7 linked regions of the Xenopus tropicalis genome follow. The protein of the gene in region 1 purifies or fractionates together with the protein of each later gene. This does not show direct contact. Links are inferred from orthologs where the notes say so. Each region holds a gene or a part of one and is shown on either strand. Other genes may lie near its edges.

The links.
Region 2: the proteins of rnf185 (region 1) and srprb purify together in Homo sapiens (affinity purification with mass spectrometry; 3 studies listed by BioGRID and IntAct, with this or other methods). This does not show direct contact. The link is inferred for Xenopus tropicalis from reciprocal best matches to the Homo sapiens genes RNF185 and SRPRB.
Region 3: the proteins of rnf185 (region 1) and amfr purify together in Homo sapiens (affinity purification with mass spectrometry; 3 studies listed by BioGRID and IntAct, with this or other methods). This does not show direct contact. The link is inferred for Xenopus tropicalis from reciprocal best matches to the Homo sapiens genes RNF185 and AMFR.
Region 4: the proteins of rnf185 (region 1) and tmem259 purify together in Homo sapiens (affinity purification with mass spectrometry; 3 studies listed by BioGRID and IntAct, counting the BioPlex papers as one, with this or other methods). This does not show direct contact. The link is inferred for Xenopus tropicalis from reciprocal best matches to the Homo sapiens genes RNF185 and TMEM259.
Region 5: the proteins of rnf185 (region 1) and sigmar1 purify together in Homo sapiens (affinity purification with mass spectrometry; 3 studies listed by BioGRID and IntAct, with this or other methods). This does not show direct contact. The link is inferred for Xenopus tropicalis from reciprocal best matches to the Homo sapiens genes RNF185 and SIGMAR1.
Region 6: the proteins of rnf185 (region 1) and bri3bp purify together in Homo sapiens (affinity purification with mass spectrometry; 3 studies listed by BioGRID and IntAct, with this or other methods). This does not show direct contact. The link is inferred for Xenopus tropicalis from reciprocal best matches to the Homo sapiens genes RNF185 and BRI3BP.
Region 7: the proteins of rnf185 (region 1) and tmub2 purify together in Homo sapiens (affinity purification with western blotting; 3 studies listed by BioGRID and IntAct, with this or other methods). This does not show direct contact. The link is inferred for Xenopus tropicalis from reciprocal best matches to the Homo sapiens genes RNF185 and TMUB2.

The regions. Positions count from the first base shown.
Region 1 is NC_030677.2:152,009,913-152,014,035, reverse strand, and holds the end of rnf185 (E3 ubiquitin-protein ligase RNF185), read right to left. Parts: intron 3,074-4,123; coding exon 2,956-3,073; intron 1,820-2,955; coding exon 1,722-1,819; 3' UTR 889-1,721; downstream 1-888. UniProt on the Homo sapiens protein: E3 ubiquitin-protein ligase that regulates selective mitochondrial autophagy by mediating 'Lys-63'-linked polyubiquitination of BNIP1.
Region 2 is NC_030681.2:129,992,519-129,997,274, reverse strand, and holds the start of srprb (signal recognition particle receptor subunit beta), read right to left. Parts: upstream 3,281-4,756; 5' UTR 3,203-3,280; coding exon 3,070-3,202; intron 1,992-3,069; coding exon 1,897-1,991; intron 1,105-1,896; coding exon 1,027-1,104; intron 1-1,026. UniProt on the Homo sapiens protein: Component of the signal recognition particle (SRP) complex receptor (SR). Ensures, in conjunction with the SRP complex, the correct targeting of the nascent secretory proteins to the endoplasmic reticulum membrane system.
Region 3 is NC_030680.2:51,707,849-51,711,951, forward strand, and holds part of amfr (E3 ubiquitin-protein ligase AMFR), read right to left. Parts: intron 2,826-4,103; coding exon 2,733-2,825; intron 2,204-2,732; coding exon 2,039-2,203; intron 1,939-2,038; coding exon 1,786-1,938; intron 246-1,785; coding exon 205-245; intron 1-204. UniProt on the Homo sapiens protein: E3 ubiquitin-protein ligase that mediates the polyubiquitination of lysine and cysteine residues on target proteins, such as CD3D, CYP3A4, CFTR, INSIG1, SOAT2/ACAT2 and APOB for proteasomal degradation.
Region 4 is NC_030677.2:100,361,741-100,365,843, reverse strand, and holds part of tmem259 (membralin), read right to left. Parts: intron 1,962-4,103; coding exon 1,698-1,961; intron 1,313-1,697; coding exon 1,201-1,312; intron 1,004-1,200; coding exon 893-1,003; intron 1-892. UniProt on the Homo sapiens protein: May have a role in the ERAD pathway required for clearance of misfolded proteins in the endoplasmic reticulum (ER). Promotes survival of motor neurons, probably by protecting against ER stress.
Region 5 is NC_030677.2:215,919,286-215,923,752, forward strand, and holds the end of sigmar1 (sigma non-opioid intracellular receptor 1), read left to right. Parts: intron 1-1,820; coding exon 1,821-2,021; intron 2,022-2,608; coding exon 2,609-2,701; intron 2,702-2,979; coding exon 2,980-3,209; 3' UTR 3,210-3,619; downstream 3,620-4,467. UniProt on the Homo sapiens protein: Functions in lipid transport from the endoplasmic reticulum and is involved in a wide array of cellular functions probably through regulation of the biogenesis of lipid microdomains at the plasma membrane.
Region 6 is NC_030677.2:160,067,827-160,071,929, forward strand, and holds part of bri3bp (BRI3-binding protein precursor), read right to left. Parts: intron 3,192-4,103; coding exon 3,089-3,191; intron 1-3,088. UniProt on the Homo sapiens protein: Involved in tumorigenesis and may function by stabilizing p53/TP53.
Region 7 is NC_030686.2:18,479,244-18,483,973, reverse strand, and holds the start of tmub2 (transmembrane and ubiquitin-like domain-containing protein 1), read right to left. Parts: upstream 3,173-4,730; 5' UTR 3,066-3,172; intron 2,064-3,065; 5' UTR 2,061-2,063; coding exon 1,459-2,060; intron 1-1,458.

The sequences.
Region 1 (4,123 bases):
ACACAATACTTATACAGATTTTATCGTTATCCAACCTGGCCAATCGACTAAACGACAGATAGCCATGGCGCGAAAATTATTGGAATGATAATTTGGAGCCCACACGTAGTCCGAAAATTGTAGGTTTCATTACTGCACTTACATAATTTTTTCTCCAATCCATTGGTACAGAAAAGTGGCCTGGCTAAACTTGAACTAATTGCAAAATTAACACAGTATTTATAACTTCCTAAAAGAAGCATCTGTCCTCCCCGATTTTTGACTGTTTCCCTCCTCATTTACATTAACTTTTTTTTTTTTACATCTGTTAAACCACATAAGGTGACACCAAAATCGTGTAGTAATTAATCCACCCCTAAACTGCTGTAATATGTAAAAATGACTCCCCTTTGGATTTTTTAACTGCTTTACCCAGAATTATACTTCGCTTTAATGTAGCCCCTAAAATCACAACTGAAACAGAAATCAGTTTCATAGTGGAGGATCTTTGGCAGTCAAACTTTTGATTCCTCTTTCAGTTCACAGCTCAGAGAAATGCAGGGTGCCTATTGCTTGATCACCCATTATTAAAAGCTGCAGCAGGGCATTTTGTAAATAAAATACTTGGGTTAAGCCCCTTAAAAATCTATGGAGGAGTAAAAGTTAAGCAAAAGATTTTTTGTTGTTACTGTGCCTTTAAGGATAGTATCAGATATAAGCTCAGCAAAGACAGGGACTAATAACCCAAGAAAATAAAAATATCTTATGTCTCTCTGCAAACTGCATCGTGCTATTTAATCATATATACAAAAAAAAGGACAAAAAAACCCCAAGGAATTTGTGATAGGATCCCTTTTAAAGTATGTTCAATTTCTTTATATTCATATATACTTTAGCAGTACTTCAAGATATCTTTCAAAAAGTATCATTTAATTAACTGTAATTTAAATATTAAAATCTCATAAAATTGAGGAATCAACATCATTTCAGCCCAACCTGGGTCATAAGTTCTTAGGGAATACAGTATGAACAGCATTCTCTTCACTGGAGGTGACTACACATCGGGCTGTGTCTGGTGTCAGAAATGCCAGAAAATATCTCCAACTCCACACCATATGCTTCACTTGCAGGTCAGGCATTCTTCTGTTGCATTAATCTGTGTTCTGCACAGTTCTGAGGTTTCCATTGTTCCTTCTACAGTAGTTCAGTATCTGGAGACTTTTAGGTATTTGTGTACAAACTTCTATTCTGCTGTTATGCCTATATCACTCATCCTCTTGAATAACTTTATCTTGTGATTTTGGTTCCATATTTTGACTCTGAAAGTGCTTCACTCCCAATCAGGCTTCCACTCTCCTTGTCAGCTACGTAATCTGATCTTCTAGTGTAATTTGATTCATTATAGAAGTTATATTGAAGTGAGTCAAATTGCATCCTGATATTACACAACTGGTTGTATTATTTTTCTTACACTGCTGCCTTCCTGTTGTCATTTTGCAATGCTTTTCCAGAAAACCCTGCTCTTACAAAGCTCATCCCTAGTCAATAATACTATTTATTTCTCTCTAATATATATATATATTTTAAATGTAGTGCACCCAACTGTCATCCATTACAAACTGTGGAGCACGGCATCAAGAATGGCGCATTTTGATGACAAGAGTAATAATATGGCAGATTTGTGATTTTCAAGGAAAGGTATGCAGTCTGTTAAACCTAGTCTTTATCACATGGAGCCAGCATCATGCAATTAGCAGCCAGAACATAATCACCAAGGCAACAAAGAGGAAGAGACGAGAGAGAAACTGTTCATCGACATATTGTGGAGTCCCAGGAACTGCTGTAAGAAAAAAAATAACAAGTCAAGATATTGAGACTGCTGTAACCACAGACAAAATTGTTGGAAAGCAAAAACTATTTAAAGGGAGAGTAATTGAAAAGTACATAGAGGTGGCTCAGAGAAAGTAGGTTTTTATAAAATATATCTAAACCTAGGAACAATGCAAGAGAAGAGGGGCACCCATTGATACTATATAAATCGGTTGTATTAGAGGAAATAGGGTTTCTACCTGTTAGGGCAAGATAGCTTTGCAGCTGGATATAGATCTGGGGTATTGTTGATCACTTTTTGGCGTATATAGTAGAGTGACCAGATCACCTGAAAATTTAGGGACATGTCTAAAAAATCAAGCTAGCATGGCTGAACTGATTGCAATTTAATTTAAATTAAATCAGTACTGCCCTGCAACATGTATTTATTAAATGTCCCTAAATTCTTAAGTGATCTGGTCACCTTAGTATATAGGGATGTGTGCAAGCGTTGCTATCTTGTTTAAATGTTGTCGTCCGATATTCAAACTAATCTTACTGCTTTAAATGACTGCCAGGTTTTAGCATTTAGCATCTGAAATCCTGATGCAGATTACAAAAATTAGGGGTTTGTTTATACAAAATTTATCATCAATATTGACTAAAAATCCCTTATAGTTGCATACAATGGGACCCCCTTTAACTTTATCCTTAAGCTAACTGCACATGGGACTCCGGAGTGCTGCTGTTTTTTCATTTTATCCTCAATTTAAGCTAACTGCACATGGGACTGATGACTGGATTTTCTCTGCCTGCTTAGAAAAGCTGATGTGTGTCCATAAGCTCCTTGTGCAAGTGCACCACACATCAAGTGGATTTTGTATGACAATGCAAAAGTAATATCAACCCTGTGTGCCACTAGCCTTAGATTATCAGTCTGTTCTTGAGTTTGAAACAGTAATTTTACCCAATCATCTGTTTAGACTTGTGAAAAATTGATTAGGCCAAATCTGGGCTCAAGGATCACATCAGTATTTACTCAGATATACTTTATTTGGCTCAATGCATAGCGGCATCAGCAAAAGTTCAAGTTTTTTTCTGTTACCTAGACAACTAAGCATGTTTATACTCTATGTATATGGCCATTTTGATGAAAGAAAATGTTACCTGGTGGAGGGCGGCCATCATTGATGTTAAAGGCTGTGGCAAATATTCCAAAAGGGAATGCTCCAATACCAAATGACATCTGGAACCCCCCATCACCAAATCCGAAACCCTGAAAACCCTGTATAAGTGAAATAAACATGTAAAAGACAGGATCTAACAGAAAAATGCAGACGCACTCTTTGAAATGCATAACTGTATCAATCCCCTTAACCAGCGTTAGCCAACTCTAAGGGCCGTGACAGACGGGGAGATTAGTCGCCCGCAACAAATCTCCCTTGTTGTGGGCAACTAATCTCCCCGAAATGCCATCCCACCGGCTAGAATGTAAATCGCCGGTGGGATGGCATACGCGGCGCAGCGATTTGAAAAAATCGCCTTCAGAGGAAACTTTGCCGATTTCGTTGCTGTGTATGCCATCCCACCGGCGATTTACATTCTAGCCAGTGGGATGGCATTTCGGGGAGATTTGTCGCACAACGACTAATCTACCCGTCTGCCACGGCCCTAAATAAGAATATACTAATGACAAACAAACGGAAAGCACTTTAGTATAAAACACCCTATTTAAGCCAGCCCCCCCCCCCACATACACACACTTTTTTTAATAACACTCAGACAGAAAAGATACGACAGTCTATGAGGTTAGACTGTCGAGGTTGGGGTTGTTTTCTCTGGAAAAGAGGCGCTTGCGAGGGGACATGATTACTCTGTACAAGTACATTAGAGGGGATTATAGGCAGTTGGGGGATGTTCTTTTTTCCCATAAAAACAATCAGCGCACCAGAGGTCACCCCTATAGATTAGAGGAACAGAGCTTCCATTTGAAGCAGCGTAGGTGGTTTTTCACGGTGAGGGCAGTGAGGCTGTGGAATGCGCTTCCTAGTGATGTGGTAATGGCAGATTCTGTTAATGCCTTTAAGAGGGGCCTGGATGAGTTTTTGAACAAGCAGAATATCCAAGGCTATTGTGATACTAATATCTACAGTTAGTATTACTGGTTGTATATATATATAGTTTATGTATGTGAGTGTATAGATTGGTTAGTATAGGTTGTGTGCTGGGTTTACTCGGATGGGTTGAACTTGATGAACAATGGTCTTTTTTCAACCCTATGTAACTATGTAATATGTGACTTACAAATATGGGAGCTCAAATACTTTGAATAGTT
Region 2 (4,756 bases), on another chromosome or scaffold:
ACATGTTTTCTTGCACACACTGCTCACATTAGATATGAGGAACTGGAGCTCACCATGTCCACAAACATCTCCAAGCCATAGTCCTCTATTATACAAGAAAAGATGCATGCAGATTCTTTGGATGGCCAAACAAAGCTTTAATGCATTTATTCCATGAATGCAAAGAAAACCACACCTAACAGAAGGGTCCCCCCTGAAAGCTTATATGCGGCTTTTGTTTGGTCCACCAAAAAATCCGAGTGTCTCTACAGTACTGTTAAGTCTTCTTTCAAATACTGTAAAACACCTGTATGCATCTAATTCTTTCCAGCAAACAGGAATGAAAATAAACACACCTCCATCTGAAACCAACACCTTAGCAATGCTAACACAAATGCGGATAAAAACAGTTAAAAAGAACGTTGGCTTTAGAGCAATAAAGGCTAAGTACAACCAAGTCACAAAGACTTAGCGGCAAAGAAGCTGCACTAACACCCTCTCTGGGCTCCAAAATACCAGAACAGGAATATTATATATATTATTATGGGACACTGGGCAGGTAAAGGAACAACAAGTCCCACAATCCTTCACTTTTGAGCAAGAAACATGTTGGGGTAGAGAAAAGGCTTTGGTGCTCTGAGGGGTGGGTATGTGTGAGTCAGGGGCACATCTACATTTGCCAAGGTTTCACATGGTTTTCTCTCACAGGGAGGAAACATGAGTATAGATGACTATACAATCTATACAATAAATAAAAAAAAATTTCAGTTATTAAGTGTACATGTATGTAATGCCACCTTTTACCAACAATAAAACATTACTAACTACGATATATATGTGGGTTCCGACCTGCACATTTACATTTTGTAAAAAGCATACTGGGGAGCACAATTTTCCTCTGTACTTTACAACTTGTCCCCACCTTTCTCAGCCAATGGATAATACATTGCCTATGTATACCATGCTGTGACCTGCCAACATTATGAGCCTGAACCACTGTGATGCCCTTTAAAAAAAAATTAAAAAAAAATAACCTGAGACCATTACCTTGTCATTCTTCACTTTATATGCAGCACAATTGGCAGTGATGGAGGTTTGGGTTTTCTTGTATGTTCCTGTAAGTAACTAAAATAAAAGAACACAGTGAATTTAGAACAAAAATGCTCATGGATTTAGATTATACTAGTAACAGAGAAATGTTACTAGAATGGATTATAAACCAGAGGAGGAGCAGCAGCATTTTTACATGGATACCGTAACGTTGGTCCTGTAAGAATCCTGTGTAACCATCATCAAGCAAGAGATGTAGATGCAAGCTATAGAAGTGTACTAGGAGCTGTAGCAACAAGTTGCTGATACCCACCTACACACACACAAAGCTACAGAAACAGGTTTCTAAAGAACATACAAAAGCAGATTATATATATAAATGTATTTATTTATTTGGAGCTGTAGAAGCAACTGCCAAATTTTATATATAGTGGGAGGTGTAGAAAAAGATGTATATCTTAAACCATAATAGAGAAAGTGTTTGTGAGCAAAACAAGCATAAAAAAAGTCCTGGGGGTGGCACATAAGAGCTATGATTGGCTATTTGGTAGCCCCAGTGTGGACTGGCAGCCTACAGAAGGACTGGTTTTGGCATTACACCAGGTTTTTATGCAACCCAAACTTGCCTCCAAGCCAGTAATGAAAAGATAAGCACCTTCTTTATGGCAACTGGGAGCAATATTCAAGGAGTTTGTAAACAACATATTGCTCACAAGCCACTGGTTGGGGATCTCTTAAACAGCAGGCTACAATTAAAATGCTTTCTTTTATGCAGGAAGGGTGCTCCAAAAAAAATAAAATTTTTGCAACCGGTGGGCAAGAGTAGCTTCATACAGAGCAACTGTACCCACGTGTTGGTAGTCATACCCTGTTGAACAGTAGAGTTTTTCCCGAGTCACACACTCCAATAAGCAGCACTGCTCTGCGGCTGGTCCGACTGCCTCGCAGAATCTTCCATAGAACTGAGGAGAGAGAAGACAATGTGACGCCCTTCCCAAAACACCAAGCAACTATACTAGAAACGAACAGCTCATGTTCCTTTGCTTTATAACCGGAAAAAAAAACAATAAAAAAGCACCTGTTATTACTTGCGCTATTAACCCAGATGCCTCACTTAATTTTTGAACTCATTTATACAATAGCAAATCCCAGGTTACTGACAGATGCAGCACTCTGCACCGCCCTTTATCTTTACAAAAGTTAAGCCTCCAAAAGGTTCTTATACAGGCAGTAATAAGGCAACCTCAGGCAATAGCACCATAATGGATTTGTCGAACTACATCTTTAAGCAAAGTTATTTGTAGTTGGAATTGCTATTGTAGTACAGGTATCGGACCCCTTATCCAGAAACCCATTATCCATAAAGTTCTGAATTACAGAAAGGTCATCTCCCATAGACTCCATTTTAATCAAATTCACATTTTTAAAAATGATTTCCTTTCACTCTGTAACAATAAAACAGTAGCTTGTACTTTATCCCAACTAACACATAATTATGTAATTAATCCTTATTGGAGGAAAAACAATCCTATTGGGTTTAATTACTATTTAAATAATGTTTTTAGCAGACTTTAGGTAGGAGATCTGAATTACGGAAAGACCCCTTATCCAGAAAATCCCAGGTCCTGTGCATTCTGGATAATGGGTCCCCTATCTGTCTGTTCCCTAACATTTGGCATCCCTCAGTGATTTCTCCTTTCCCTTCTACTTGTATCAGAAGTCAGAGGCCTAGGGGCCTAATCATATTTAGACAAAAATACACTTTAGGGACAATAACATCAGGAGCCATTTAACCTGTCAGTGCCCACACACTCAGGTACCACATGTTCCATGGCACAGTACATTGTGGGTACCAAATGGGGGTGGAGGAGAATTCCCCTAGCCGAGATGGTCTGCCCCACACACACCTTCACCACAGATTCACAAACCAATACAGTATCGCCTAAAGGTAGGGCACTTGGCTATTTCTGTCAGTCACATCATAAGTCCCTTCCCCATCTCCTCACACAACTGTACCCGGCTTGGAAAGTTGCCACTCACCAAAGCTAAGCACGACAACAATTAGGGCGATCCCCACGGAGAGCAAGGTCGGGTCTTGCTTCTGCAGCTCCTGTGTAATGAACTCCATGTCCGGCAACCACCGAGAATCATGTTGAACCTGAGGCTCCGCCATTATTCACACGTAGCAGTAACTAAGCGCAGCGCATGCGTACTCCTGCCCTAGAGATGCATTGCGCAGGCACCGACTAACAGTGACGTGTAATTCTCTCAATGAGAGCCGCTGTTCTATAGGCGCGGTGCAGGCCGGGATATTATCGAGCAAATGTGTTCCCTGGTGTTTGAGCTGCGCTGCTGCGCGTCTTAGAGAGTGGAATGAATTAAGAATACATATTTCTATTTTGTAGTATTACATTTCAAATGTTACTTGCGCATCATTAGTTTATACACGGACCTATTTGCCAGTGGGGTGTGACTTGATATATACCTGTTGCCTATAGGTATTGTGGGAATACAGTCCCAGAAAAGGAATGGCATAGTTCAGGGATGGCCAATACGTCTATTGCGGTCCACCGGTCGATCCCCCGTGGATTTCTGGTGGACAGCTATGAAGCCGGGATGTGGAATTGCGGCGTGAATGAGTGCGTACGCTGCGTTGCCTACATACACATTCACGCCTCACTGCCGCATTCCACGGTCATCGGTCAATCGCGACTGAAAAAAGTCTGGCCACCCCTGGCATAGGTTGTGCTCTTCTTGACCACTTCCAGTTGTGATGCAACACTCAGTACAGCGCCAAACTTCAACCCCATTGAAAGCTACAATTTACAGTGGGGATATTTGATTGGTTACGGACAGGTTAATGGTTCATGATGTCGTCAACTCTAATGTACATTTTCTTGTGATTATGATAAGGCCCTTGTTTATAAGCTCCAGTGGGGCAGGGACAGACATGAACAATGCAGGTCATGTAGAAATTTATGCTGTAAGGCATCCTGACCATTAAGTTACTCTAATGCAGCACCAGTGGCTTGTGAGCGACATGTTGCTAACCATCCCCTTGGATGTTGCTCTAAGTGGCCTCAAAGTTGGTGCCCTTTTTTTAATTTGTGACTTGGAGGCATGTGTACTGCTAAACAGAGCTTGTAGTAGTCTGCCATTCCACATTGGGCTACAAATTAACCAGTCCTTATTGGTCACTGACTAGAAAAGTTTTTTGTGCTTGTGTTGTTCCCCACCTTGTTTTTATTGAAATGTTGCTCACTGGTAAAAAGGTTGGGAATCTCTGCCCTAAGGAATAAAATAATTACTATTCAGACTACTCCCCACAGTGGTGCCGTGATGTTTGGCAGTCTTTGCCCACAGTCGGCTGAGTTGGGATAAACCGGTGGATGCTATATCTTTCTGCTTTACCATAATTGAACCTGCCTAATCCATGCCACCTGTATTTGTGAGTATTGCATAACCCTGTGGATCATAGTGTTGGACAATAAATCAATTTCAGTTCAGTTCAGAACCTTCTGGTGTCCATTTATTCATTTACTTTGCACACAGCCTTAGTGAGTTGTAGTTTCATTACATCCTCCCTTGATCTTTCCATGTAGTGAAAGCCCACCCTGTGTGTTAGAGTCCAATGTACCCCATGCTGTATTTACAGCCTCACTCTTCCACATCCACAATTTCCTCTCCATTTTAACCATCTTTCGGGCTTACATTTTATCCCTTCCCA
Region 3 (4,103 bases), on another chromosome or scaffold:
CAATACCTCAACTTCAGTTACACAGTTTTTCTACATCACATCAAAGGCTACATTTTAGCACAAAACAACTCTTGCAGTAAAAGCACGAGCTATTGCTGTAAGATAATATACTTATTTGATATGTTTTGGTTTTAACACTATTGTACATACTTTCATTTAAAAAAAAATAAAAAAAAATAACACAATAATAGTTTTAGGGCTTACCGTAGCACAACATGAGTGGTTCTTGTTGTCACCAACATGCACTACAGGAATAAAAGTAATTCATTTTTAATGTGCACAGATAATCAGCAGCTTTTAGATCACAATTCTCTTAAGTGTCCAGCAACAGCATAAAATAAAAATATTATTTCTACAGTTAAAATGCGTACCTGTCCAACCATCACCTAAAATAGGTGATACCTCCTGAGGATGTGTAACATACCACATGAAACAAGTAGAGAACCTCAGAAGTTTCCAGGATTTTAAAGAATTTTTATTTAGTGCTTGAATGAATCTCTGTGAGTATTCCATTTGGGTTTATATTTATTTCTTATTAAAATGTTACTACACAATTTTGGTGCACTTTGTTTTCAGTGGGTATCCACATAAGATAGACAGAAGGTCCCTGATGAAAGATGGATGTTTGGCCTTGCTATTTATGCATCTGGTGATTAGGTGATTTAGCCAGAGTGTGATATTTAGATCACCTACACTTACATGAGATTTGAGCAATCACACTTTTAAGGAAATAAAATATTAAATTATTAAATAGTAATTAAATTAATACTGGCACATTTGCACTTTAATTTACTCTATTGAATGTGTTGTGCCAGTGCTTCCCTACAGAATTGTTGACATCACCTAAAAATAAACTATTTCTTAGCAACAAATGTCCCATTTATATAAGAAAAGTTTTAATTCTATTTCTGTGCTACTAATGCCACTGGACCCTTGTTAATCTCTTTGGCTACGTACTAAATAACATTGTATTCTAAAGAAACGATCCATTTGATCTGATGTGTTTGTAAGATTGAGTAAAACCAATCACAGAGAACACCAACATCAAAAAAAGGCACTTAAACTCTCATATATATATATATATATATATATATATATATATATATATATATATATATATATATATATATATATATATATATACTGGTATTTTAAAGAAAAAAAAAAAAACTGGATTTACCTTACCGTATTTAAGGAATCATTCAAATGGAAAATTCAGCAATGCAGTCACTTTTATTAAATTCTAAAAAGGTACTGTATTTCAAGGAGTGAACCCTTTCTGAGGACTTGTGTTGCTTTATTTTCCTTTTGAGAGATTCCTGCTACCATTAAAAACAAGACAAGACAAACTATAGTCTGACAAAAAGTACAACAGGATATAAGTTAGAAATGCAGACAAACTTAAATGCTAATTGGTAATTATTCAAGTAATAACTTAAATTAAAAGGAGACATTAACGCTATGTATAACATATAAAACTGCTTATCTCAGCACATTGAAATTCACATTGATTACAGAGAAGGGGAGCTAAGCTAAGCATCAACGGACACATCCTACTTCAGTAAAATAAGCTTTTTTACACCTTCATGATAATAGCAGAGACCAGAAGAGAAGTGAGCAATTTTACATTAAATTATATAATAGGGTATAAATACCTTTTAAAAATTAATCAAAAGCAGTATACTAAGACAGGGAGACTAAGAATTTGGTATCTAAATGTGGAGTATATTAAAGCAGCGAGCAGGCTTATGTACCACAGGGAGAAACAATCTGGTATTTTCTTACCTCAGCAGCCATAAAAGCCAATGTGTGCATCCCATGTGTGTATCCAGCAATTGCACACAGCACAGCAAGACCACAACAGGCCAAGAGCATAATATTCAGCAGAACCAAGACACGCATATGGCAACTCATTGGAGTGGTTGGGGAGAAAGATAACTGTAAGAAAGAAAGGAGAAAATCATTTAGAAATATATGCACAGCAGAATCAGAGCTAAATTTTTAGTGCAATGTTTAATTTTTTTCCCATTCTACGTACGTATTCAAACCGATCCTTACAGAGCTGCACCATGAGATGAAGAAAAAGCAATCCAGCAAACCACAAAAACCAAAGGACCACTTCCTCTACTGTCTGGACATTGAGTACCCCAAAGATGAAGATAAATTTATAAAAGATGAAGTTCCAAAACTTGTCCTTCAAGTGCTACAAAAATAAAGAAGGCAAGAGAAGAGTGCAAAGTCAAGATGACTGCAATTTGTAGGATTAAACAGCATACAAGTTGGTTATTAAAGGAACAGTAACATCAAAAAATGTAAGTGTTTTAAAGTAATTAAAATATAATGTGCTGTTGCTCTGCAAAAAACTGGTGTTTTTGCTACAGAAAAGCTACTATATAAATAAGCTGCTGTGTAGCCATGGGGGCAGCCATTCAAGCTGGAAAAAAGGAGAAAAGGCACAGGTTACATAGCAGATAATTAGTAGATAAGCCCCATATAATGGGGGTTTATCCGTTATCGGCTAAGTAACCTGTGCCTTTTCTCCTTTGAATGGCTGCCCCCATGGCTACACAGCAGCTTACTTATATAAACTATAGTAGTCTTTCTGAGGCAAACACACCAGTTGTAGCAATGCAGGGCAACAGTACATTATATTGTTATTACTTTTATACACTTTCATTTTTTGGTGTTACTGTTCCTTTAACACCAACTGGAACATAGACAGTCCTTTTTACCTGTCTCTCTCCAACACGGAGGGGACCAAATACCACATGCTGGATCAGTTTAGCAATCAGCATCAAAAGGCAACACACTGTGTTCACTAGAACCTGTAGAGAAAGAGAGACTGTATGTGGATCCTGTGCCATTATCCAAGTGCAGTTGCCATTATCCAACTTGTAATTGACTCTTTAAATCTTATTGCAGACTGGTTAATACTGGAAACTGTACCCTGGTATACTAATTTATAATGTGTGTACAACCCTAGAGAAATAAAAGGATATTATCACCTGAAAACACTTTTCTTAACATGGGAGGGGTGATAAAGGAAAAATCCTTAAAGGTGTAGTTCACCTTTAAGTTAACTTTTAATATGTTATAGAACAGCCAATTCTAAGCAACTTTTTAATTTGTCTTTTTATAGTTTTTTTTAATTATTTGTCTTCTTCTTGTGACTTTTGCAGCTTTCAAAGGAACGTCACTGACCCCAGCAGCCAAAAAATGATTGTTACTTACAGATTTATTGTTACTTTTTACTTCTTTTTATTCAGACCCTCTCCTATTCATATATTAATCTCTCATTCAAACTACTCTCTGGTTGCTAAGGTAATTTGGACCCTAGCAACCAGTTAGCTGCTGACTCAAGAGCTTGAGAGCAAAAAGTGAAATAAAAAAAAAAACAATAAAAAAATGAAAACCAATTGCAAATTGTCTCAGAATAGTATTTTCCACTTCATACTAAAATGTAACTCAAAGGTGAATTACCCATTTAATAAAGACAAATGCATAAAGAAGCTACAGTAAATATGCATGCAGTCTTATACCTGTACAAAAGTTAACTTACCTGTCTTGTAGTCCCATGTAGTATTTTCATACTAAAACAGGATTTTTGCTACTATTTTAACCAGTCTTACTTTATTTATAAGTCAACTAGCCATTTAAATTTATGTATGTATAGGCACATACACACACTTAAAGGGTCAGTAACATGAGGAAATGAAAATGCACTGAAATATATTACAAATAATGTTCAATTTCACTTTTGTACTAGATCTTGAAATCTTTTTTCCAGTTAAAAATACTTATATGTTAAGGAACTGGCCCCAGAAAAAAATATATTTCTTAAGGCCTCGTATCAGGGGGATTACTATTTAAGTAAATGACAGGCTGAATGGCCCTGATGAGGCAGATTCAGTTTTTATATATGTGCACACTGACATAAGTGTTTCTCATTAAAACCACATATTGTTTTGTCAACTGGCATAAATACCCCAGGGGGGTGAAAGCGCAGATTAGTTGGCACCAGCCAACATGTCAGTGTACCAGTCTGGGTCATTTATAAACACTGGCCAAATCAGCACCTGGACAGTAACCCATGGCAACAACAT
Region 4 (4,103 bases), about 52 Mb from region 1:
AGTTAAAAATGATTATAAACTTTATTACACTCCATTAGGCTTTGTACATGGGGTTTATTTTAATGGAGTGTAATAAAGTTTATAATCATTTTTAACTTTCTTGTAGTGGTGCATATTTTTATTTGATAGTTGTTGTAGAATAACACTGCCTATAGTGCAATAAATGGTAATTTTAAGGTACACAGCACTTTCAAAAGGTGATGCCTGAATGGCATGCTTTTGTATGTGCTTATTCTATATCCAGAAAAAGCTTGTAAACTGAATGCACCAGTTAGGATCCAACATGCAGAGATAAGGCTTTTTGGATTCTGTTTTAAACACACCTAACACAGCACTGTTCTTGCCTCCTTCTGTTATATTACATATTATTATTAACATTTATTTATAAAGCGCCAACATATTCCACAGCGCTGTACATATCAGTTTGAAGTGTAATAATTGATAGGTTGGAAGACCTAGAAAATGTTTGGTTAAAAGTAGTCCCTGGTGGGAGCCTCTTTAGAATACATACTCATTCATGGCAAACAAAAATAATGGCTATTTAAAGAATAAGTAAACCCCTTTTTTTAATCCCCAAAAAGTAACCGTACAGCCCCAGAATAACATGTCTTTCTCCCTGCATCCGGATCCAGTAGACATTTCTTTGAGGTCTTTAAAGTCTGAGAGAGGAGTTCTCATAAAGAAAAAGGGAGCAGAGCTCATGCTAGGCAAAGAACTCAGTAAATTAACGGCTTGTAATAGAAAAACAAAATAGATCTGCATGCACAGAGAAAGGTATGTTATTCTGGGGCTGTTTAGAGTAAATTTAGGGCATAAATAAAAAAAAAAAAGACTAACTTTAAAGAAAGAAATTATTCATTAATACCAACAGTGAATGTCACAAGCAACTTACCTAGTGTAACCACCATAACAGGGATATTCAGCCTCTGCCTTGTGCTCTGAGACAGCCGCAGGAAGCCATATTCTAAGGAATATTCCACGATGTACTCTTCTTGTGGCCACACTAAAAATAAATATTTTCTTTATGGCAGGCCAGATTATGCACGTGACAGTAGATATTATAGCAAAGGTTTTATTGCTTGCTTTGGGTAACTACTTCACTTGTGAAATTAAAAACCTGAGTTAGTAAACCAGCTCTAGTGTCTCAGTCATATACATCCCAGCACAAAGATCTACTTTTATAAGTGAACAGAAACGCACCTTTGCTAGCAGCATCACTGAAGGACAGTGTCTGGCTCTGGTTTTCAGAGGCCTGAGTAACACTCTCTAGAGATGGCTTCAGGAATACTTTGGGCTCAATATCCAGCTCAAACTATATGGAATAAAAACATTACTGTGAGAAAATTTGAGCTTAACTATTGCATCCAAAGCTAACATTCTCTTGTTCAGTTGGCACAGCTCTGGACATATTTTATTGTTACTCATAGAAATATTTGTTTGCGGGGTGTGAAACAAAACCAACTAATCCTCATTCACTACATTTGAATAAGAACAATGAAACTCGTAGCATGCAAGCAACTAATTGTTCTGTGTGACCGTCTACCTTGTAAAACAGCATACATGGCAGCAATATTTGATTGCTCTACAGGTGGCAACTACCCAAAATATTGAAGAACTGCCTCTACAATTAAATGAAGAAAATGAAAAAATGCCCAGAGTAATATTTGTATCTTCAATTAATACTCAAAACCTAGTACCTTGATGGAGCTATTGTGGTACATTTCCACGCTCATCTCTTCCTCCTCCTCCTCATCTTCCCCAGATGGTTCCTTTACCAAACCTGGAAATGTGTCACTGTCATAAAATTGTAAAAAGATGGGTGCTCGGCTTGAGTTCAGCTGAATCTCCACTCGCAAGATTCCATCCCGAGGCCATTTCTCTCTAACATGCTCCAAGCAGTTGATTGGGGAACGGGAGAATGCAATGTGGATATATGCAAGGATAAACAGTACCAGGAGGGCCTAAGTAACAATAAAATAAAAAAAGTGAAAATATATCTAATCCTAGACCAATCTGTTACAGAAGAGTCTAAGCTCATTTTAAATAGTGCAAAGCTTATCAGGCTAAATTAACCTTTTGTACCCCCCAAACATACCAGAAAGTCTACCAAGCATAAAAAGCCTTACATTACTATTGATGTTCATATAGATATTAGACATTTTCCTCTTTTGAAATAACCTCAAATGTAGACACAAATGAATGACTTATTGGTTGCTATGAGTTACTGCACCTAGACAAAGTTTCCTTTCAAGATTTATTGCATATCATTTTATTCAGGTTTACTTTCTAACTCTTAGTAAGGCTAAATATTTAAGCTATACCGACCAAAGAATAGACTTGAGAGCTGCAGAACAAAATATAAATACCAATCGTAACTTTAGAAAATTGCTTTTACATCATACTAAAATTCTGTCTGAAGTAAGCTGAAAATTCAAGACACCAACTTGCATAGGTACTCCTATTTTTATAAACATTTGAAGTGTAAATGTTTTACCCAAACTCAAGTAAATAATTAGTGATATTAAAATATTGCTTGTGTATTGCATATTTAAGCAAACATATAGGTGGTCTTTACAAATAAATTAAAAACAAATCAATTATTTAAGTGAAAGAAGGAAAAGAAAAAATCATACAAAAAACTGGCTGCATTTCTGGGCGCACCCTTTAATAATCAAGGAAGTGGCTGCATTCAGAATAAACTAATCACATTCAATCTCATCTCAAATAGTAATAGTAGTAGTAGTATACACCTGACATCAATAAATGAGGGTTTAATAAAATTTGGCTGTTCCTGTAGCACAGTGGTTCTCAACCTTCCTAATGCAGCGACCCTTTAATACAGTTCCTCATGTTGTGGTGACCCCCAACCATAAAATTATTCCTAAGACTATCGGAAATGTGTTTTCCGATGGTCTTAGGTGACCCCTGTGAAAGGGTTGTTCGACCCACAGGTTGAGAACCGCTGCTGTAGCATCTTGGTCTCATACTCCAAAAGCCATGGTCTACAAAGAACTTTTAAAGCATGAAAGGGATCTCATCATTATAAGATATAAATCAGGACAGGGGTACAAAAAAAGTATCCAAAAAGTATTAAAGGATCTTTAAACATTCCATGGAGCACAGTGAAGTCAGTCATCAAAAAGGTGGCGAAAATATGGTTCAGTGACTGACCAAGATCAGAACGTTCATCCAAATATTAATGAGAAGACTAGGAGAAAACTTGTCAGGGAGGTCACCAAGAGGACTAAAGTCAACATTATAGGAGCTGCAATTGCAATATGTTGGTTGTTCTATGGGAGATTGCCACCTAGCAACAGCTAATGATGGGGGGGATGTATTTTACCACTGCAGCCATGTTTCTGCATTCTGCTTCTGACATGCTTGCGCCTTTAATATGTGGGAGCAAGCACAGGTTTGCTCAGTGCTGACTGGACAGTATAGAGCAGGAAGGGGATTAGCTGAATGGGAAGATTTTTTTTACCTCAGCGTTTTAGTGGTACATAATTTTTTTCAGCGTATCTTCAGAAGGCTGCCACCAAACCCCCATTAGCCGTTGCTAGATGGTAATCCTACCCCTATAACAAATGTTGTTTGCTAATCATAGATTCCTGCAAACACTTCTATTCTTCATATGTCTGGGTCGTGGGGTAGGGTAGCAAGACGAAAGCCATTACTCACAAAGAAAAACATCTGAGCCCGGCTAAACTTTGCAAGGTATACAGTCTCCCACAACCATGTTGAAAAATGTTTTATGGTCCGATGAGACCAAGGTTAAACTATTTGGCTATAGTTCCAAAAGGTATGTTTGGAGCAAAAATGACAGCACAGCAAAGGGCTGCTATTTATCAGCTGAAACTGGTGCTTTAGTCAAGAAGTATCAGTCTATTTTGTCACAAAAGCTTTAAGCATCTTCTTGGAAGCTGAAGATAAAAAAAGGTAACGTCACCTTTCAGGATGACAACAACCCAAAGCATAAATTGAAATCAACAAAGCAATGGTTTAACCAAAGGAGGAACACTGTTCTGAAATGGCTCAGTTAGAGCCCAGATATTAATCGGATTGGAAATCTATGGGGTGACCTGAAGAGAGCTGTGCACAGGAGA
Region 5 (4,467 bases), about 64 Mb from region 1:
GTACTCTCGCCAAGAGACCCCCCCTTAGGCCTATTCCCCGGTACTCTCGCCAAGAGACCCCCCTTAGGCCTATTCCCCCGGTACTCTCGCCAAAGACCTCCCTTAGGCCTATTCCCCGGTACTCTCGCCAAGAGACCCCCCTTAGAGCCTATTCCCGGTACTCTCGCCAAGAGACCCCCCCTTAGGCCTATTCCCCGGTACTCTCGCAAGAGACCCCCCCTTAGGCCTATTCCCCGGTACACTCGCCAAGAGACCCCCCCTTAGCCAATCTCCTTTCCGTGGCCCCTGGCTACCCCCTTAGTTGGCCACTTAGTGTCCCTGAACTCCGGCCAGTGATGCCGGGAGGCAATAACCTCACTAATCTCCTGTTGGGGCTTCAGACTGCCCTTACTAGATACTCTGTCTAATCTCTCACTCCGAGAGTGACTATAACCGGTCTCTCTGAACTCTCTAACGGGAGCCTTTAGCCTCTATCAGAGGGGGGTCCCAGGGCCAAAGCCCTTACAGTGAGCCATCCCCTTTATCCTGCAGCACACTGCCACCTAGTGGTTACTGCTGAATTACAGGGAAACTCCCTTTTCACACACAAACAGCTAGGACCCCCCTTAGGTGCCCATATCCAACAGGGCCCCCCTCTGGTGCCGCTCTAAAGGGGCCCAAATCTTGGGATCCCTACAATAGGGACCCACAGGCACATTCACAGGTAGGTGTCTCCCTGGCCCAGTGTATCTGTGGGGGTGTCGGGGTGCCCCCTGGCCCAGTGTATCTGTGGGGGTGTCGGGGTGCCCCCTGGCCCAGTGTATCTATGTGTGGGTGTGCCCCGTGTATCAGTGGGGGTGCCCCGTGTATCTGTGTGGGGGTGCCCCGTGTATCTGTGTGGGGGTGCCCCGTGTATCTGTGTGGGGGTGCCCCGTGTATCTGTGTGGGGGTGCCCCGTGTATCTGTGGGGGTGTGGGGGTGCCCATGTATCAGTGGGGGTGTGGGGGTGCCCCGTGTATCAGTGGGGGTGCCCCGTGTATCAGTGGGGGTGTGGGGGTGTCGGGGTGCCCCGTGTATCAGTGGGGGTGTGGGGGTGCCCATGTATCAGTGGGGGTGTGGGGGTGCCCCGTGTATCTGTGGGGGTGCCCATGTATCAGTGGGGGTGTCAGGGTGCCCCGTGTATCTGTGGGGGTGCCCCGTGTATCAGTGGGGGTGTGGGGGTGCCCCGTGTATCTGTGGGGGTGCCCCGTGTATCAGTGGGGGTGTGGGGGTGCCCCGTGTATCTGTGGGGGTGCCCCGTGTATCAGTGGGGGTGTGGGGGTGCCCCGTGTATCTGTGGGGGTGCCCATGTATCAGTGGGGGTGTCAGGGTGCCCCGTGTATCTGTGGGGGTGCCCCGTGTATCTGTGTGGGTGTGGGGGTGCCCCGTGTATCTGTGTGGGTGTGGGGGTGCCCCGTGTATCAGTGGGGGTGTGGGGGTGCCCCGTGTATCAGTGGGGGTGTCGGGGTGCCCCGTGTATCAGTGGGGGTGTCGGGGTGCCCCGTGTATCAGTGGGGGTGTGGGGGTGCCCCGTGTATCTGTGTGGGTGTGGGGGTGCCCCGTGTATCAGTGGGGGTGCCCCGTGTATCAGTGGGGGTGTCGGGGTGCCCGTGTATCAGTGGGGGTGTGGGGGTGCCCCGTGTATCAGTGGGGGTGTGGGGGTGCCCCGTGTATCAGTGGGGGTGTCGGGGTGCCCCGTGTATCAGTGGGGGTGCCCCGTGTATCAGTGTGGGTGTGGGGGTGCCCCGTGTATCTGTGTGGGTGTCGGGGTGCCCCGTGTATCTAACTCCCGTTCCCCGTAGGGTTGGATTATGAAGTCGCTTTCTCCAAGATCATCACGGAGCTGAGGAAGAAGCACCCGGGGCGCATCCTGCCGGACGAGGACCTACAGTGGGTGTTTGTGAACGCGGGGGGCTGGATGGGCTCCATGTGCCTGCTCCATGCCTCCCTCACTGAGTATGTGCTGCTGTTTGGCACTGCTGTGGATACGAGTGGCCACTCAGGTGAGTGCACGGCCCCTCGGCTTTGGGGACTGGTTTTGGCAGGGATTTGGGTCGGGTTCTGGGTCGGTGCCATTGGCCGATTACTGCCCTGTGACCCTGGTACCATGTGACTGATACGCCGTTCCTGGGGCATAACCAGCAGCTAATACTGCCCCCCTGTAAATAGGGGCCCCCCGAGCGCAGATCCCCCGGGCCCCCGGTGGTAGTTCTGTGAATGTGGGCAAATCCCAAGCATTGGCCGTAAGGTGCCCAGCCCTTTGCATCTTGGGGGTCTCTGGGGCCACAGATAAACCCGAGCAATTAGTTAATTGGCCAAATGCCCCGCTGGCTTCTTATGAGCTCGTTACCATCTCGGGGCAATTAGAATCATTTGCCTCTTCTGTCCCTGCAGTCATTGTGCCTTGGAATCATGAGGCTGCCCCCCCCCCCCCCCAGGGGGCTAATAGGGGAGGTTCCTGACTGGGGTACAATGCAGGATTTGGGGGCCCCTTCTTCTCTGGGGCGAAATAGCGCCATATTGGGGCTGAATGTGTTTGGGAAAGGAGGGGCCCCCGGGGGCCACACAGTGACTTGTCGCTGCTTTACAGGTCGTTACTGGGCAGAGATATCCGACACCATCCTATCCGGAACGTTCCGCCAGTGGAAAGAAGGATCGACAAAAAGTGAGATATTTTATCCAGGTAGGTACTGGCCTGGGGGGGGAGAGTCTTGCATCTGCCCTACGTGGGGGCAACATATCTGTATGTGAAATGTTCATTTACCCAGCCGACCCTCCTGCCCCCCCATTCACGTTTAGTCATTGTGCCCTGTGCCCCCCAGTTGTGCCCTGTGCCCCCCAGTTTGCCCTGTGCCCCCAGTTGTGCCCTGTGCCCCCCAGTTGTGCCCTGTGCCCCCCAGTTGTGCCCACTCTCCCCTGTTTGTGGCCCCTAATGATGCAGCTCCGCCCTTCTCATTGCAGGAGATACCATTGTGCATGAGGTGGGGGAGGCCACGTCGGTGCAGTGGAGCGCTGGGACGTGGATGGTGGAATACGGCCGGGGGTTCATCCCTTCCACGCTGGGCTTTGCTCTGGCCGATACCATATTCAGCACCCAGGACTTTCTCACCTTGTTCTACACAGTGAAGGTTTATGGGAAGGCCCTCCTCCTGGAGACCAGCACCCACCTATCAGAACTGGGCTTCTTCTGAGTGCCGCCATATTGATTCCCGTCTCCCTCCCCCTTTCCTTGGCTGATTTCTGCTTGAACCAGCAGGAGGCGCTAGCCCGTACTTACTGGCCGTATGTAATTCCCTATAATCAGTGCTAATTGGGGGAATTTTTGGTTCAAGCCTCTCTTCAGTATTTGCCCCCAACCCCCCCCCCACCCATAGCAGGGTGCCAGATTTATGGTTTATGCCTAACGCCGGGCTTCCAGGGTCTGAGAGCCAATCGGCATCCTCTGTAAGTGTCACCTGACCTAGGCTCCAGAGCCACTGCCTTAACTATGACCATGTTGTGTGGATGAGCCCCATGAAAGTGTCGGCGCTGTTGGGCAGTCGGGCGGCTGGCACTTGGGGCTCAGGGGGTAAATAAAGCATTTGCCCATATTGGGAGATGATACACTGGATTTCTGACTGCTCCATTGGATGGGGGGGGCGGGTCACAGGGGCATTGGGGATTATTTTACTCACCCTAAAGTGTCCTGATTTGCTATCTCTGGGCTCCTCCCACCCTGCCCATTGCAGCATCTCCGTGGCACCCGGGGGGGGGGTAGTTATAAATACCCACATGGAAACGCACCTACGGGGGAGCAAACTGGCACCAAAGTAGACAGGGGGCCCCGGTCCCTCAGCCACAGGCAGCGGATAAACGGTTAAACCCCAAGACCGAAAAAAAAAAAAGGAAAAGAGAGCAGTTACCCACGTGCCCCCCCGCCTGGGCTCCATCTGTGGCAGAATGTTCCATGCCCCTCCCCTGGCACCATCATGTCTGTGTGGCACCTCCCTGCCCTCAGCCTGGCACTGTGTGGGTAATGCCCTTCCCTCCCCACTAGGTGGCGCTGTGGGTGCAGAGCTGGATATTTGAAAATCTAAATATCTGAATCTTGTTCCCAAGGTCCCTTTATGTGGACTTTCTGTAGAAGGGTTGTCCCCGCCAGAACCGGGCCTCCCCAGCACCCCGCCAGAACCGGGCCTCCCCAGCACCCCGCCAGAACCGGGCCTCCCCAGCACCCCGCCAGAACCGGGCCTCCCCAGCACCCCGCCAGAACCGGGCCTCCCCAGCACCCCGCCAGAACCGGGCCTCCCCAGCACCCCGCCAGAACCGGGCCTCCCCAGCACCCCGCCAGAACCGGGCCTCCCCAGCACCCCGCCAGAACCGGGCCTCCCCGCCAGAACCGGGCCTCCCCGCCAGAACCGGGCCTCCCCGCCAGAACCGGGCCTCCCCAGCACCCCGCCAGAACCGGGC
Region 6 (4,103 bases), about 8.1 Mb from region 1:
AATAAAGCCCCTGTAAGCTGATAGTGTGCATAGAGGCTGCCTAATAGCCAATCTTAGCCCTTATTTGGCACCTCCATGAACTTTTATGGTGCTTGTGTTGCTCTCAGAGTCTTTTTACATTTGACTGTGGCTCACGAGTAAGAAAGGTTGGGGACCCCTGCTCTAGTGTAAGGCTTTTTGGAAATCTGAAGCAGCGTATAATCACCTAGGTTTAAACATGTATAACACACATTTCAAGTAAAATCTCAAGTCACTTCTGTTGCAGAGAAAGAGGTAATAAAAGTATTTCCCCCAACTGCCCAACTGAGACTGCTTTAGGGGGATTCTGTCATGATCTTTATGGTGTACTCTTTGTTTCTAAATTACACTGTTTACATAGTAGGGATGCACTGGATTCACTATTTTGGGATTCGCCCAAACCCCAAAAACTTTGTGAATGTTTAAGGCCTAATACCGAACTGAATCTGAATTCTAATTTGCATATGCAAACTAAAGCAAGGAAGGTGTAAAAACAACCGTGCACTACGTGTGTATGTGAAAAACTTTCAACTTCCGCCTTAATGTGGGAAAAGTCACATGATTTTAAGGATTCGGCCAAATCCAAATCCTGCCGAAAAAGACCAAATTTTGGCCCAATCCCAAACCGAATCCTGGATTCAGTGCATCTCTATTATATAGCAAATAATTCACTCTGCCATTTTAAACGTTATTCTTGAACCAACAAAGGATTTTTTTTCTAGTTGTAATATTGGTGTGTAGCCATCTCAATGCACTGATTCTGAGCGTTCAGAAAGAGGCAACGCTACATGTTAGAACTGCTTTCAGATAAGCAATTGTTTCTCCTACTCCCATGTAACTGGAGAAGTCCCAAGCCGGACTTGGATTTCTTACTATTGAGCGCTATTGTGATATTTACCACTTTTAGCACTAAGGGTTTCAGGGAGCTGCTATCATGTTACCTTCCCACATTCTTCTGGTGATCGATATATATATATATATATTGCAATGGAGAGCCGGCACTCGCGTTGTGTAGGAGCCAATAGTGCCTGGGTGCAGTATGAAACGATGTGGTACAAAGGAGAAAAGATGCCGCACTCACAGGTCTTAGTGCAAAAATAAAGAAAAATTTATTTAAACAGACTAACGTTTCGGCTGTGGCTACAGCCTTTCTCAAAGTGAATACACATGAAGAGCAACCCACACTTAAACCAAACTTGGCGCCAAAATACAGTTACTGACGTCATAGCATAAATTAGTTTAACACCACCCACCCACTGTGCAGGAAATAAATAAAAAATAAAGAATAATACATAAAAGTATCTGAGTAGAGAATATTGTGTGTAAGATCATTGTGAGAGATAGAAATGTACACAGAAAATACAGGAAGATAATGGAACCAGTAGAGAAAGTAGCAAGCAACCTGTTATGCTGAACTGCAAGTCCCACGCATCGCAGAGAGGGTGCTGAAGGGGCAGTAGAAGATCCGATCCAAAAATTAGCCGGACAAATTGGTGTAGTAGTTAGGGTATAGTATATGCTCTCAACTGGTGCTATGCTCCGTGAGCCAGTTGACAGCATATACTATGCCCTAACTACTACACCAATGTGTCCGGCTAATTTTTGGATCGGATCTTCTACTGCCGAAACGTTAGTCTGTTTAAATAAATTTTTCTTTATTTTTGCACTAAGACCTGTGAGTGCGGCATCTTTTCTCCTTTATATATATATATATATATATATATATATATATATATATATATATATATATATATATATATATATACTGTAAGTTAACACAAAGCTTCATAGTTGAATATTAGACTTATAAAGAGAGGCAATGCCAAGATTAAAAAAAACAAAAACAAGTTTTAAGTAGCTAAAGAGGCACACCTTACCAACCACTTACATAAATGTTCCTTCTGCTAGCAGCTGTACAGAAGCCAGCCTGTAGTGACCTAAGAAAAATATATCCGCCGTATATAATAAAAGGCACTAAGTTTGCCTAGGACCAGCAACCAATACGATGTTTGCTTTTAAACAGGTGACCAGTAAATGCTACCTTTTGACTTGTAGCTATGGGTAACTGGACCCTACATAACCCTATAAGTGTTTCCATTGACTATAGCAACCAGACAGCAGTTTAAATTTCAGGTTTGAATAAGGCACAATAGAAAAGCATATCCTAATGCACAACACACAGACCTGTGTATATACAGGATTCAAATGAATATATGAAAATATCTAAATTTCACTTAATGTTTTTAATTAAATATTAATTTTGCATTTTTATTTATATATATATATATATATATATATATATATATATATATATTGGAAAACTATGTTCCAATATATAATTCACATACAGGATGAACTTTTGACATGCCATACATATAATGAAAAGAAGCTGCTGCGAAATGTTGCCTGGCCTAATGCATTCATGGCCTAATGTGGTCATCAGCTTCCAAGATAATTAAGTCAAATTCTATGCAACTTCTTTACTTTTATCTTTTTTTGCTTTTACCTTTGATAATCTAAAGGTGGCCATACAGGCACTGATATTATACAAAGATACTCTTTGCGTTAATGGTGGGAGACAAGGCGATCAGTATCAGTAAAAGCCTTGGATATTGGTAGTCTCGTCTATTGCGCAGGACTAAAAATTTTGATCAAGTGCCTTTGGAGGTGCCCAGACATCATAACATTAATGCTGAATTGTCAGATAGGGGAAAAGAATTCCTTTGTTTTTACCTGCATATCTTACTCTTAACGTTAGTAGCGTGGATGAACGATCTATTTTTGTGATCTAACTGTAACGTATGTGGCCACCTTTACTCTTTACTTCATTGCCCGAGTACTAGGAGGGAAATAAGGCCTTGTACATATAAATCTTGTATAGCTTTGCCTTCAAATGCAGATCCATTCAGCAGAAAATGGGTTAATGATAATGAATAGAAAGGTCTCTTCTATCAGGAAGTTTATACAAAGAGCAGCTCACCTTATCTAGAGTATTTTAATAGGACATCTGGCACCCTTGCTTTAAATAACCTGCCAAATGTGTTCTGCTGACTGCATATCAACCACTTACCATCAATTCCAAGAACCTCTAAGAGATCCGTCCATATCCTCCAGAGCGTCTCTACTAACACATCTACTCCATACACAAACCTCTCTGTTAGCCGGGAGAAGAACTAGACAGGAAGAAAAAAATATATACATTTAGTTTCTGTTATTTCTAACTTCAGATGCAGAAGACAGTAACAGTTATGAATCATTTCTAAATAATAAGACTTTCCCCAGCCACAGCACGCAGAGTACTTTTTTCTCAGGTCCAGGAAGCCTTGAATTTGATCTTAAATATACCTAATTGTGAGACCACACTATTACAAAAATAATTTCTGCTTGTATGTATGTTTAAATAAAACGACAAAAAGAGACATTTAAACAATACACATATACATACGGACATTTGTACAATGTGTTAAAAAGAAACACATAAAATTAGGAGTGCTGGTCCTGATATTCTATCATTCACACTCAAAAGTTTGAGTACAAACAGTACTCTTCTTCAGGGATAAACCAACAGACTGAATACCAACACGCAATTTAAGTACCCTCCCACAAAAATGGTGCCAAAAAGTGACCCTGGTAACTATAGCAACCACTGTAAATAAACAGCATAAAGAAAAGAAGCAAAAAGAGGCAAAGACATATAATAAAATGAGGTAAAAATAGGTGAAACTATAGTGCTACAAGTGTTACAGTTATGTGTAAGTGGTTATTAGGTTTCAACACATGTATCAAATGAAAGAATGTTGCAAGAAGTATCTAAACATTAAAAGTATAGGGAATAAGTTTTATAAGACATATCAGGGACAAACAAAGCAATAACAGCAGGACTCAAGGCAAATCGGGGAGAATAGTATCGAATCACCCGCATAAACTCCTAAAGGACAGAGTCATGCATGTCTGAAACTGGGTGTGCATCACTTGCATGAGCAGTGCCCAATCATGGATGCACCAAGTCACAAAATTATACAGGACAGGTGCTCCTTAGCAGCCATGCAGGGTTGGTGGGCACATCTAGGACATTACATCAATTA
Region 7 (4,730 bases), on another chromosome or scaffold:
TAATGCAGTCAAGTTGTATCTACTATGGAGCAGACCTTGCAGTATTTACCTACAGGCATGGACTAGCACTGCCTACTGCAGAACCTATGTACATATTATATGATACCAGTGACTGCAGTCAATTGTTCAGGTATAGGTTACATTTTCAACTCGCAACCTTGCAGCTATTGCTGAAATACACCTGCCAAGTGCATGCTGTGGTTGTTCAACCACAGTCTTAGAGGTGTTACAGGCTGGATATGTAGAGATTAGCTTTAATCTGGCCATACATGTTGAAATCTGTTCACGCTCAACCCAATTTGGCCACTCATGCGCAGGGCCAATGGGCAGATCATAGAGCAGGGACTATGAAGACACAATGGATGAGGACTGCATCAATGTGTTGATGCGGTTCTAGTCTAATGGGATTTTCAAACCTGAAAGATATTGGTTGGCCTCCTACATGGGCCAATAGGCTGCCACATTGTCCTGGAGCAGTGCTGTCCAACTTCTACGGTGCCGAGAGCCGGAATTTCTCTAGCATACATGGTGGAGGGCCGCTAATGGAAGCCAGTTTTGACCACTCCCCTTTTTGAAACCACACCCACTTCAAACCACACCTATTTTATCACAATGGTGGTAGCACAGCAAAATCCCAAATGCTTGGTTCTTACTGTGGGGATATCAACCATCATTCATATGTGAAAGAATTATGTCATATTAAGATATAACCTTAAATTTCATATGCCTCCTCTTCCCCTGTGGATAGCAGAGCAACCCCCAGTACATAATTTCACACCTTAGGGACCATTTAATGGCTATTTCCAACTGCTAACAAACTCCCACAACAAACCCCTGCCAGGTTCACCTCCCACAAGCAGCATAGGGCAAGCAGAGTATGGCACACACAGACAGCACTCTGCCTGTCCTATGCTGTCTGTGTGTGCCATACTCTGCCTGCCCTACCCTGCCTGTGTGTGCCATACTCTGCCTGCCCTAACCTGACTGTGTGTGCCATACTCTGCCTGCCCTTCCCTTCCTGTGTGTGCCATACCCTCCCTGACCTATGCTGCCTGTGTGTGCCATACTCTGCCTACAGTACCTATGTCTGAGGTGTGAAGAAGTGAACAATGGGAGTGATTACAGTCTGAGCCTGAGGTGTGAACAATGCAGGTATTAAAAGGTGTGAAAAACACAGGGGATTACATTTTTAAACAATACAGAGGGATTACAGCCTGAATCTGAGGTGAGAACCATGCAGGGGGCCAGTTAATCTCAGTACTGATACCATTTAATGCTTACTCAAAGGTAAGCCATCAAAGCAGCCAGACAGGTGGGGGGCCACACAGAGGGGGGTCGCGGGCCGCCAGTTGGACAGCACTGTCCTGGAGGAACCCAGTTGTCAGCTTTTATTGACCACCTTTAATCTGGTTTATATTCTTTATCTGTTATTTGTATCCCAATTCCTCACTATCTCACCTTTTTAACATCCCAATGGTGTCGTTTGGCCTGACCATAGCCACCTCCTCTGTTTCATTCAGGAACTTAAGCCTGACTGTCATGAGTGCTTCTTCAGGCTTCTCCCGAGTCATCCCCTCTTTTGCAAGTGGCTTTTCCTCCTCTTGTTCTATCTTTCTACCCACAATAAGAGGGCTTTCCGCTTCTTTATCATCTTCCTGTGTCACATCCTGCTCTGTGCCATCCTCCTCTCTCAGTGGTGGCACAGCCTGGCTGCGCTTGGATACCCCCTGAATATCCAGCATCTGATCCAGGTTAGCATTTTCACTGCCAGCTTCCTGCTCTCCACCAGGATCCTGCTCTCCTTCTTCTGGTTTCTCAGCTTGGGCTTCCGCAGGCCTCTGTGGTTCAGGACTGGCAGGTACTGGATTACTGAGTACCAGGAGAGGATCCCTGCGCCCAGTTGGGATTAAGCTTCCTAAAAGGGGGTCACTTCCCTCAGCAACGTAGGTTGAAAGCCATGCCAAGGTGATGGCTAGGAGTAGGATGAAGAGACCAACTGCTACTGTTACCTCATCTCCGAGACCCTCTATCATGGTTGGCGGGGGCGACTCCATGCCCATTTCCTAGAAGAAGGACAGATGGTCACATGTTACATGAAAGAGATACAGTGCCCACCATGCTTTACTAGGGGCCGTGAGCACACTGAGCAAACTATATCTACTGGCCAAGGGCAGGTAGCTATCATCCAACAGCAGAAGGAGGGCTGCAGGTAACATGTACTTCTTAAGCTAGAGATACATGTAAGGATCTGCTTGTTTGGCAAGGTCACCAGACAAGCAGATCTTATATGAGGTGGGCAGTATTGGGCCCATCCGATTGTTTTGGCCAATCATACGACAATGATGAAACGCAGGCCATCGAGACTAGGAAGGCATTAGTAAGCCGATCGAAATCTGTTCAATTTCCAGCCAGGTATTGGTTGGCAGGCCCAACAGAGCACCCCATATACAGGTAGATACGCTGCTGACTCTGAATGGGCCAGATTGCCCCTGAGTGGTAAGCTAAAAGGGGGTACTGTGCGGGCAGGTAGGAATACAAAGATGACCCACATTCAGCCCCCCCAGCTATCTGAAACCACAAACACAGGATGCCACCAACAATCCACTGCCACATAGGGGCCTCCCACACATTGAAGCAGGGGTCTCTCTGTATGATATTATACAATAAAAGGCCCAGACACTGCAGAGACAGGGCATCAGCCTTCAGCCCCTTGATAGACAAGGCCCCAAATTCCTTCTCTCTCAGCAGTCACCTGGCCTCCCACTCATTTTCAGAGCAGTCACAGAGTGACTATGGCACCAATACCGCAGCACACACAGTGGAACCAATGGCATTGCCTATCAACAAAACCCTATACAAGCACACAAACTCAGTCAGGGAATCATAGTCTGAATGGGGCTACAGTGTGCCTGTCACGTATAAACGCTAGGAAGTCGAGGCTACAATGGTACGGCCGGGTGTGATGATGTCACGTAAGGGGGTGATACACGTAAGGGGGTGAGGTCACGGCTCCTGAGTCCTGAGCGGGTCTAAATATGACGTGACGTCAAAAGCGTGTCACTTACCGCCCGGCTTCGCCTGGATCCCTCTTTGCCCAAACCCGAGTTCACAAGGGCCCACCCGTATCTGGAAGGTTGCGTCACTAACTACGCGCCCGGGGAAACGTCACCACACAGCGTCACTTTAGCTGGCCGGAAATAGGAAGTAGGAAGAGAGTAGCGATTGGCAGTGATTGGCGGGTTGTGTCTAGTTCCAAGTTGCTAATGGAACAGAGCAGTTTTACAGACTAGGAAATAGATCTTTCAGTGTAAGTTGGGCTAAAATCTAGTGGGAAAAGGAACAGTAATAGAAACTAGACAATTTCTTCAGATATATCTAGTTCCTAGTTGGTAATAGAACAGAGCAGCTTTACAGATTAGGAAATTGATCTTTCAGTGTAGTTTTGCTAACATCTAGTGGGAAAGGGAAAAGTAATAGAAACTAGACAATTTCTTCAGACATATCTAGTTCCAAGTTGCTAGTGGAACAGAGCAGCTTTACAGACTAGGAAATAGATCTTTCAGTGTAAGTTGGGCTAAAATCTAGTGGGAAAAGGAACAGTAATAGAAACTAGACAATATGGTCAGATATATCTAGTTCCTAGTTGGTAATGGAACAGTGTACCTTTGCATATAAGGAAATAGACTTTTTTTATATAGTTGGACTATGTTCTAGTTGGAAAATGAATAATCATAGGAATTATAAAATATAGTGCATGTAGGATAGATCCTACTTGTTTTTACGGAATTTTTCGTTGCGCGTCAAAAAGGGCGTTGTCACATAAAATCGGGCATGGTCACATCAAAAAGGCGCGGGTGCAGCAAAAAAGCACGGGCGACAAAAAAATAGACACAGGCGACAAAAAATAGACGTGGGCAACAAAAAAAAATAGCGTGACTAATGCGTTTTGTGAATTTTTTGCCGTTTTACAAATTTTCTTGCCGTTTCGCAAATTTTATGGCGAAGCGAAATGGGACAGATTCGCTCATCACTAATCATAATTGTAAAAGAGGCTGTCATTTTATCCCGGTTTAGAAGTGCTGTCACCTAGTGAAATAAAGTATTTCAACTAGCTTGTTGAGAACCACTGCCCTATAAATATAAGCTCCATATCATGATAGAGTCCAGCTCATTGCATGTTAATCAACAAGGGAAGGGATTCTGTTGTAACATCCAGACTTCCAGAACCACCAATTGGCAGATTTATGACTGATTCAAGTCCTGGCTTGAACTGTCAAACTCCGCACCAAGGCACCATGTTGGCAATGGCTTAGAGCTGTAAGTCAGTTTTTTCAGATGTCGCTTCAGTCTTCCAGGATCTCAGAAAACATTTTTCGGCGCTTGTTCTCCCCCAGCTGGCGCTCCTCCCAGTATTTCCTCCGCTTCACAAAGTGCGTCAGGGCAAAGTTGCGGGCGATGTGGTGACCGACAGGATCGTTCTGCAGTTGGTGGAGCTTCTCGACTGTGTGAGAGAGAGAGAGAATATATCAAATATAATGCCGTATTACAGGAAGGGATCTCTGGATCACCCCAGTATAGCTGTATAGCAGACATACCCAGCTTCTGCTCTATCTCATCTTTGACCCTTAAGGTTGATGCCGTCCACATGCGATCTAACACACGGCTGCCATATTTATTGCAGGCCAACTGCATACAGTGACCCTAGGGAAACACAGAAAAGTGACTGCATG